2 linked regions of the Cricetulus griseus genome follow. The protein of the gene in region 1 binds, or shares a complex with, the protein of each later gene. Links are inferred from orthologs where the notes say so. Each region holds a gene or a part of one and is shown on either strand. Other genes may lie near its edges.

The links.
Region 2: Eif3i (region 1) and Eif3f share a complex: the UniProt entries of both Homo sapiens proteins name them as parts of the eukaryotic translation initiation factor 3 (eIF-3) complex. The link is inferred for Cricetulus griseus from reciprocal best matches to the Homo sapiens genes EIF3I and EIF3F.

The regions. Positions count from the first base shown.
Region 1 is NC_048595.1:23,434,119-23,438,423, reverse strand, and holds the start of Eif3i (eukaryotic translation initiation factor 3 subunit I), read right to left. Parts: upstream 3,050-4,305; 5' UTR 2,931-3,049; coding exon 2,928-2,930; intron 2,836-2,927; coding exon 2,743-2,835; intron 786-2,742; coding exon 698-785; intron 1-697. Other genes in the region: Tmem234 (transmembrane protein 234), read left to right, coding at 3,050-3,065, 3,249-3,400, 3,977-4,043. UniProt on the Homo sapiens protein: Component of the eukaryotic translation initiation factor 3 (eIF-3) complex, which is required for several steps in the initiation of protein synthesis.
Region 2 is NC_048596.1:91,829,320-91,833,743, forward strand, and holds the start of Eif3f (eukaryotic translation initiation factor 3 subunit F), read right to left. Parts: upstream 3,025-4,424; 5' UTR 2,997-3,024; coding exon 2,618-2,996; intron 1-2,617. UniProt on the Homo sapiens protein: Component of the eukaryotic translation initiation factor 3 (eIF-3) complex, which is required for several steps in the initiation of protein synthesis.

The sequences.
Region 1 (4,305 bases):
CAGGGTGGTGGGGTTGGAGGGACCAGAAAAAAATGGCTCAGGAGTTAAGATCACTTGTGTACTTGCTACTCTTTTAGAGGACCTAGGTTAGAGCCTCAGCACCTACATGGTGGCAGATATGCTGCACAGATGGAGCACAGACACACACACACAGGAAAAATACTCATATAAGTAAGACTAAAGCTTTTCAAAAGAAGGAGCTGGGCAGTGGGGACACACGCCTTTAGTCCCAGCACTCAGGAGGCAGAGAGACAGGTGATCTCTGTGAGTTTGAGGCCAGCCTGGTCTCCAGAGCGAGTTCCAGGACAGAATCCAAAGCAATACAGAGAAATCCTGTCTTGAAAAAACAAACAAATAAATAAGAGAGTTTAAAGAGTGATTGAAGAAGATACCTGACGCTGACATTGGGCCAGTATACAATACAGATTCATTACATGCATGCACGCGCACACACAAAATGACTAAGCCCATGTTCTCCTGGAAGCCATCTAAAGCATCTCCCAGTTCAGCCCAAAGGGCCTTCATCTCTCTCTTACCTCAGAGTGTCCTGACCTTCAATCCAGAACTTAAAATGTGTCCCGTTTCCCCAACTAATGAGTTACCTGGGAGTAGGGAACCTTACTCTCCAGAGCACCAAAACATGTCAACCTCACGGTCAGCATCTCGAAGGCTGGCCGACCCACAGCAAAAAGGATACAGTCAGCATCAACACACCACACAGCTCCACCATGGCCAATGTAGGTGCCCAGCCTCTCGCCATTCACAGAGTACCACACATTGACGGTCTGGAAGAGTAAAATGAACAGGATGGGTCACACCCCAGAAAAGGCAATAGCTTATCTGGTCCTACGAATCCTCTGTAGACTCCAGCCAAGCCAAGTCTGCCTTCTGCTCACTTATTAGAGGAGAGCTGATAAAAGAAGACCAGCTCCTGGTTTTCCTCTCTTCCTAAAGGGAAGCAGTATTGACACTAGGCCTGCAATAGCATCCTCACTATCTACTTCTGTCTGGACTCATCATCTCTCTGAACAATCAAAGGCCAAGATGAGTTCTAGTCTAAAAAAAAAAGAAAAAAACTTTGGTGTCCTGAACAATCGGGACAGATGACAGTGAGGATGTATGGGCTCTAGTGCTCCTTTGTCACTTACTATGATTTTAAATTCAGTGCTTCTTCCCTCTGAACTTTTAGCTTTGTCTTTTTCTGTTGGTTTGTTTGTTTGAATCCTATGTAGCCCTAGCTGTCCTGGAACTCACTCTGTAGACAAGGCTGTCCTCATAGACCCACCTGCCTCTGCTGCCACGTGTTGGGATTAAAGGCGTGTGCCACCACTGCTCAGCTAACTTTGTCATCTTTAAAAGGGCTAGAGAGCTGGCTCGTCCTGATGACTTGGGTTTGATTCCCAGCACCCAGACGACAGTTCACAGCCATCTGTAACTCCAGTACCAGGGATCTGATGCTCTCGTCTGGCCTTCTCAGGCAGGAGCATATACACTGCAAATATAAACTGCAGGGAAAACACCCATACTCATAAAATAAACAAACTCTTTACACATAAATATACATATTTTAAAGGGTAAAGACAAGCCATGTGGCCAGGCGTTGGTGGCACACGCCTTTAATCCCAGCACTCGGGAGGTAAAGGCAGGTGGATTTCTGTGAGTTCGAGACCAGCCTGGTCTACAAGAGCTAGTTCCAGGACAGCCTCCAAAGCCACAGAGAAACCCTGTCTCGAAAATAAAACAAACAAAAAAACAAAAAACAAACAAAAAAAGAAACCCTGTCTCAAAAACAAAAAAAAAAAAAAAACAAAAACAACAACAACAAAAAAAGACAAGCTGTGTGTGTGTTTGTGTGTGTGGTAACACACACCTATATTCCTAGGACTGGGAGGCTGACACAGGAGGATGGAGAGGCACAGACCAGCTCAGAAAGATACCCCATCCTTGACAACAGCTTTCTTTAAAGGGCAGCTGTGAAGCTCCAATAAAAATGGCTAAGAAACATAAAATGTAAGTGACTAACATACACCAGGTACAGTGAAAACCTATTTACAAGAATGACCTCAATTTGTTGAGGGAGGTAAAGTTCCCTGTTTTATTAAAAGGGAAAATAGTAACTTAGAAAGGCTAAATGTCTTGTTCAATGTCTCACTGCTGGCAGGTGCAGGAGTTAGGACTCACATAAAACTCTGACTTCAGACTACCCAATGTTAACCATCAGTTAACTGTCTCCATGTGCAAATGCCTCAAAAGGCAGTACCAAAGAGTGCTGCCCGGAGATTCAACATGGGACTGAATAGACAAGCCTAGGAACAGGCCTTTTCCTCCTTTTTTGGTGCTGGGGATCCAACCCAGGGCTACAACCCCAAGACCCCCATCATGACACATGGGTCAACTTTATCCTCCAGACTCTAGAGGTTGTCCGTTCTGGTTCTTCACATCCTCGAGTCATTAGAGCACATCCTCTCCCAGTCCCCAGTCTCCCTACCACACAGTTTTATTTTTCTTCTCCGTGGGTACGCTTTCCTATCAACCATCAACTTATCTTAGGTCTCTCAAGCAGAATCCGTTTCGCTACCCTACCCGGCCCGGCAAGTGTGGTTTTCTCTGCTTTTCAGAGGAATTAATTCCCCTCCGGCGGTAAAGCTGGTGCACCCACTGTCTGGATGGTGCAAACTCGCCCCTCCGGGTGCCCCACCCCGCCCCGCCCGCCCGCCGGCCCCGGGTCGCGCGGCCGCTCACAGGGTCTTTGGCCACGGTGAAGAGGAGGTCTCCTTCGCGGTTGTACTTGATCTGCGTGATGGACCGCTCATGGCCCTGCAGCAGGATAGGCTTCTGTGGGGACAGAACGGGAGTGTCAGTGCCGGGAACCCCGTCCCATGCCGATTGGGACCCCAAGACGGCAGCACCACATGCATGGAACTCACCATCCCGGCGGTGACGCGAGCAGAGAGGCAATGTGAGTGGGACCGGAAGAGGACTAGGGGCAACTTCCGGATGCTGGGACTCCGCCCCCTGGATCCCGGAAGTAGAAGGTCCTCGCGTTGCCATGGCGGCGTCTCTGGGTGGGTAACCGGCCCCGCCCCTCCGTGGGCACCGACTCCGGCTGGGGGTGCTCGCTCACTCCACCGGCACCCCTGAGCCCCGGGCCTGCTCGGCCCCCTTCGGTGCGGGAGGGAGATGGAGACGGTCCGCCGGGCCGGAGGAGGCCGGGGAGCGCCTGGGTGACTCTGCTCCTCTGCTTTCAGGGCAGGTCCTTGCTCTGGTGCTGGTGGCCGCCCTGTGGGGTGGCACGCAGCCGCTCTTGAAGCGGGCCTCCGCCGGCCTGCAGCAAGTGCGGGAGCAGACGTGGGCCCGGCAGCTGTTGCAGGAGATGAAGACTCTCTTCTTGAATACCGAGGTGGGTCTGTGGACTGCTGCTCCCTCGGACGAGCCGCAGAGCCAGAACCCCAGCCCACCTCCTACTCGTTCGCAGCTTCGGCATTATCCTTGCTAAAATGGAAACTATATGATAACCTAAGTGAGGGAACGGGCGGTGGTGGCACACGCTTTGAATCCCAACACCCAGGAGGCAAAGAAAGGCGACCTCTGTGAGTTCGTGGCCAGCCTTCTACAGAGCAATTCCCAGACAGCCGAGGCTACACAGAGACCCTGTCTCGAAAAACAAAGCAAGGGGCTGGAGAGATGGCTCAGCGGTTAAGAGCACTGGCTGTTCTTCCAGAGGACCTGGGATCAATTCCCAGCACCCTCAAGGCAGAGCACAGATGTCTGTAATTCCAGTTCCAGGGGCAAAACTGTACTTACTACTATGAAGTAGTATACGTAGCAATGAAATGGTTGGGGGTGGGGGTCACCAGGACATGAGGAATTGTATTAAAGGTCCCAGGATTGGGAAAGCTGAGAACGACTGTGTTAGAAGGTCAGATAAGACTGTTGGGTGAGCAGGAAATTGCTGACAGATTTCTCCTCTTTCCAGTACCTGATGCCCTTTCTCCTCAACCAAAGTGGCTCCCTTGTCTACTACTTGACCTTGGCATCAACAGGTGGGCCTCTGGCTTGGACCTCCTCTGGGTCCGTATTTTGCCAACCTTACACCTGTCAGTGAGGGAGAATACCTGTTTGGGCCCTTGGGCTCACGGGTAGTAGGGTGGTTATGAGTGTGTGGCCAGACACTAGGGCTGGTCTGACAGCCTCGTGCAGTAGCAGAACAGGGAAAGTTCATTTTGCCATAAGTGCTGACTTGTTTTATTTATGTTGGGGGGTGTGTTTGTGTGTGTGTGTGTGTGTGTGTGTGTGTGTGTGATA
Region 2 (4,424 bases), on another chromosome or scaffold:
ATTTCCTTTCAATTGAAGATCTAGAAATCACCTCTAATGCTGAGCTTCTGACTATGCCACTACTTCCTGTCTTTCAATTCTCCCCTTTCTCTGTGCTCCCACTTCTCAAATGCTTTTACTTTACTAGAATGCCCTCCAGCTGTCATCCAGGCCCAGCTCAGGTCTACTAATCTGTACAAAGCAGCCAGTGCTCTGGTCTCCCAGCTTTGGAAAGAGCTCAAGAGCCTCCTGGGAAGACGAGACTTCCGCTGTCTCAACTCTGTGACTCCTGCCCCAGAGGCAGGTGTCCAGAACCACAGAGGGCTTCTCCTCCTGCCGCCCTCTCATAAGCTGGGACTTGCCCAGAGCTTTCTCTTTAAAATTTTGTTTCATTTTTAAATTTAAAATTTCTCAACAGTGGTACATTTTAGAACTATTACATAAACTGAAAACAAGTTTTTCAGTTTTCAAATTCCTGGCACGTTATCTTTTTGAGATTCAGGGATAAAAGGTTAGTATTCCCAAGTAGGCTCAGAAATGTCAAAATTATGGTATTTAGAACATAACTTTATGCTCTATAATCTGAGTAGCTGAAGTTCTGTTTAAAGGATAAAGGACGCTGAGTTTAGCAGTGCTTACAAAGAACTATAACTTATAGGTATATTCACTGAAAACAATTTAGAAATCAGGTCTTACAGTGAAACATAAAATTAGAAACTCAGGTCCGAATCCTTTGGGAAGCACACGTGGACACTGTCCACCTAAGGGCTCATTTCACATGGAAGATGTGTTACACCTTAACAGGGCCTTCCACAGCTTTTCTGGGACTCCTCCATAACCTTTTCAAATAGTTACGCCTCTGTGTTTCCATAGGACACCCTGCTAGCAGAACAGTCATCACATCTCCGTTTCAGGGACTCTGTTTCCATCTTGAGTTTAAGGTTACAACAGTGTTCCTTTGACTAATTTTGAATTCGAAGTACCTAATGGTTTTATGGTACATGAAAATCACTAATGATTTCATTTAGCCAGGCAAAAATCTTTTACAAATTACTGTCAACCTAAGAAAAGTCCAAGTTCCTACCAAGCACACATTGCTTCATTTGTTTTTCCATCAACAACTCAACTGTTCTGTAGCAGTGGGAGCACTGAGCAGGATCCAGTCTGACAAGAGAATCCACAGATTACAGCTGCCTTCCTATGATATATGGGGTGAAACATAAACCTTGATAGACATTTATTCCTCTAGTTAAACAGCTCCAGAGACTGGAAATTAGATAGTATACCCCAAGTATTTGTTAAGTGGCAAGTCACTGATACAAACATTTTTTGTTTGTTATAGAAGTTCACAGTAGGGCAGTTACAGAATGTTAACACACTGAGAGGTTAAAAATAGAGGGAAGTTAGGATTACAGTTGTAGAACTGAAATAAAATGGTGGAGAGCAGGGAAGAGACTTGTGGAGGAGAAAATGCCAGTGTGTTTTGATGAACAACAATGTAGCAACTCCTAAGTCTTTGTAAAGTGCTATACTGCCTAAGAAATTTATGGTGGGGTGGTATGGTTTTCATATCTAGTATATGGTGACTGAGAGCTGCTGTACCTGAGGTGTGTCAGCCATTAGCTGCTTTCTGTAATAATTTCATTCACACAAAAACTGTCTGCTAAAGTCCCCAAAAGAACTAGATCTTTGGTGATTTGTCCCAAGACAGCTAATAATTGCTGAAGTCTGACTATATATCCTGTTCTCTTTGCAGCACTCGAATGGTCTTCCATGGTACGAAAACTGCTCCAAGATCACCAGTAAGAAATGGTGTGGAAGGCCAGTGTTTAAAAGCTGTCACTAAGGCAGAGTGCAAGCAAGTCTGACAGGACCAGCAGTCCCCAGAGACAGAAATGTATTCAACAATCTTCAGTGCCTTTCAGTTTTACAAACCACCTTAACATAAACTATCTGTAACACAGGCAAAGGAAAGATTACTCTTCATTTTAAGGTTGCTTGTAAACAGGTAATACCATTGCTTGCATGCAAATGGAAAAGTAAGAGTGAAGTGGGGTAGATACTTGAACCCGAGCATATACAGGTTTCATTCCACAAGAAACTAGTATCAAAGAGGTTCTTGCCACTGAGCATCTGTCTTAAAAGTTCGGGATTAAAAGAAAGTATTAAATATCCGGAATAGGTTCTGAACAAACCTGGTTTACTTGTTCAATTGGGGGAAGCTTTGACATATCCTCTTCCCTTACAAGGGTGGTGGGTACGTGTTTGTGTGTTGGTTAGTCAGTGGATATGAGGGTAAATGTGGATACTGTGCTTACAAGAGTCAAGAGCTTTGCACTTCTTGCTGGCTTTTGAACTCATTTTTTGGGAACATGCACTCTCCGTACTTCGCTGGTAGGAGTATAAAATAACATGTAGATCAACTACCACAAACTACTCAATAGCTCATACCTACTCTTTGGACATTTCTGTCGCTCAACAGCGATTCGGCAGGATTCAAGACACTTGGGAAGGCAAGCCACATCGAGAAGATGCAAAAGAGCAACAGGTTAAGACTTCAGTGGTGATGTAGCGAGAGGAAATAGTGAAAACAGGAGGGAGATGACGAGAAGAAAACACTCATTTCTCCAGCACTCACCCAGCAGGGTTCCGATAACCCGGGCAGCTCCCTCGTTGCGTCTCTCGTAGCTGTCTACGATGGAAGCCAAAATGACCGGGTGCAGCCTGACCACGCGGCCGCCGGGGAAAGGCCCCGGCAGGGCGGGCCCGGGCTGCGAGGGTGCCGGCGTCTGCGCAGGGGCTGGGGCAGAGGCCGGGGTCTGGCCCGCAGCGGCAGGCGTAGCTGCCGCAGGGTCGGAGGACGAGGCGGGCGCCGGGGCCGCAGCGGGAGTCGCAGCCGGCGCCGGAGCTGGCGTGGGCGCTGCCGGGGCTGAAGCCGGGGCTGCGTTGGTGGCCGGCGCCGGGGCCGCGGTCACAGCGGCGGGAGGGACACTTGCCGGTACGGCCGGGGATGCCATGTTGCCGAGAAAGAGGGAACCTAGAACGGAAGGGCGTGAGTTAGGAAGTATTAGGAACTTGGTTGGTTGAATTTGTACCACGTGAATCAGCTCTTGCTGACTATTGGGCACTAACATTTCCGGCTGGTTGTAAGTTTTAGTGAGCCGTGTGCGTTTTAATGGCCGTCCATGCGCACTCAGTGAGGAGCAGGCCAAAGTAGTTCCTAGTGACTCTGGGACCGCCTGAGGGTGGGGTGGGGTGGGGTGGGGGTGGGCAGAGAGAAACAAATAGCAATCTACTCAGTTGCCACCAGATGGCGGCACAGAATAGTGTAAAGGTCGCATTTTTTTTTTTTTTTAAAGATTTATTTATTATGTATACAACATTCTGCCTCCATATATGGCTGCATGCCAGAAGAGGGCACTAGATCTCATTACAGATGGTTGTGAGCCACCATGTGGTTGCTGGGAATTGAACTCAGGACCTCTGGAAGAGCAGTCAGTGCTCCAAGCCATCTCTCCAGCCGCCCCCCCCCGCCCCCCGCAATTCTTTTTTTAGACTTAAATTGGATATTAAATGTCAAAGGGGCTTTTAAAGGGCCTCTCTCCCTCCCCCCTCCTCCCTCCCTGCCTCCTCCTTCCTCTCCCCCTTCCCTCCTCCCTCCCTCCCTCCCTGCCACCTTCCCTCCCTCCCTCTCTCTCTCTCTCTCTCTTTCCTTTTTCTTTCCTTCTCTCCTCTCCCTCCATCCCTCCGACCCTCCCTCTTTATTTCCTTCCTTTGCTTATTTTTGAAGTCAGGGTGTGTGTGTGTGTGTGTGTGTGTGTGTGTGTGTGTGTGTGTGTATACTCATGAGTGCATATGACGGCCAGGCATTGGATGTCCTGCTCTATCACTCTATCACTATTCCCTTGAGACCTCATCCCTCACTGAACCTGGAGCTAGGCTGGTAACCCTAGCAAGCCCTAGTGATCCTTCTGTTTCACTGCCCACAATGCTGGGGTTACAGGCTCCAGTGTTACCACACCTGGCTTTTTATGTGGGTGCTGGGGATTCTACCTGAGGTCCTTATGCTTGCACGACATGTGTTCTTACCCACTGAGCCATCTCTCCAGCCCCTTTAAGGTCTTTTCTTATTGGCATAAATTCTTCATACTTGGACAGTATTTACTTCCACCTATTCCCTCCCTTTACTCCTCCCCCCAATTATTCTTCCTGTTTGTCTTTTTCCTCACCCAATCTTCTTTCTGCATATATATATTTCTAGGGGCTGGAGAGATACCTCAGAAGTTAAGAGCACTGGCTATTCTTCCAGAGGTCCTGAGTTCAATTCCCAGCAAACACATGGTGGCTCACAACCATTTATAATGAAATCTGGGGCCCTCTTCTGGCCTGCAGGCAGAACACCGTATACATAATAAATAAATAAATCTTTAAGAAAAATTCTAGGA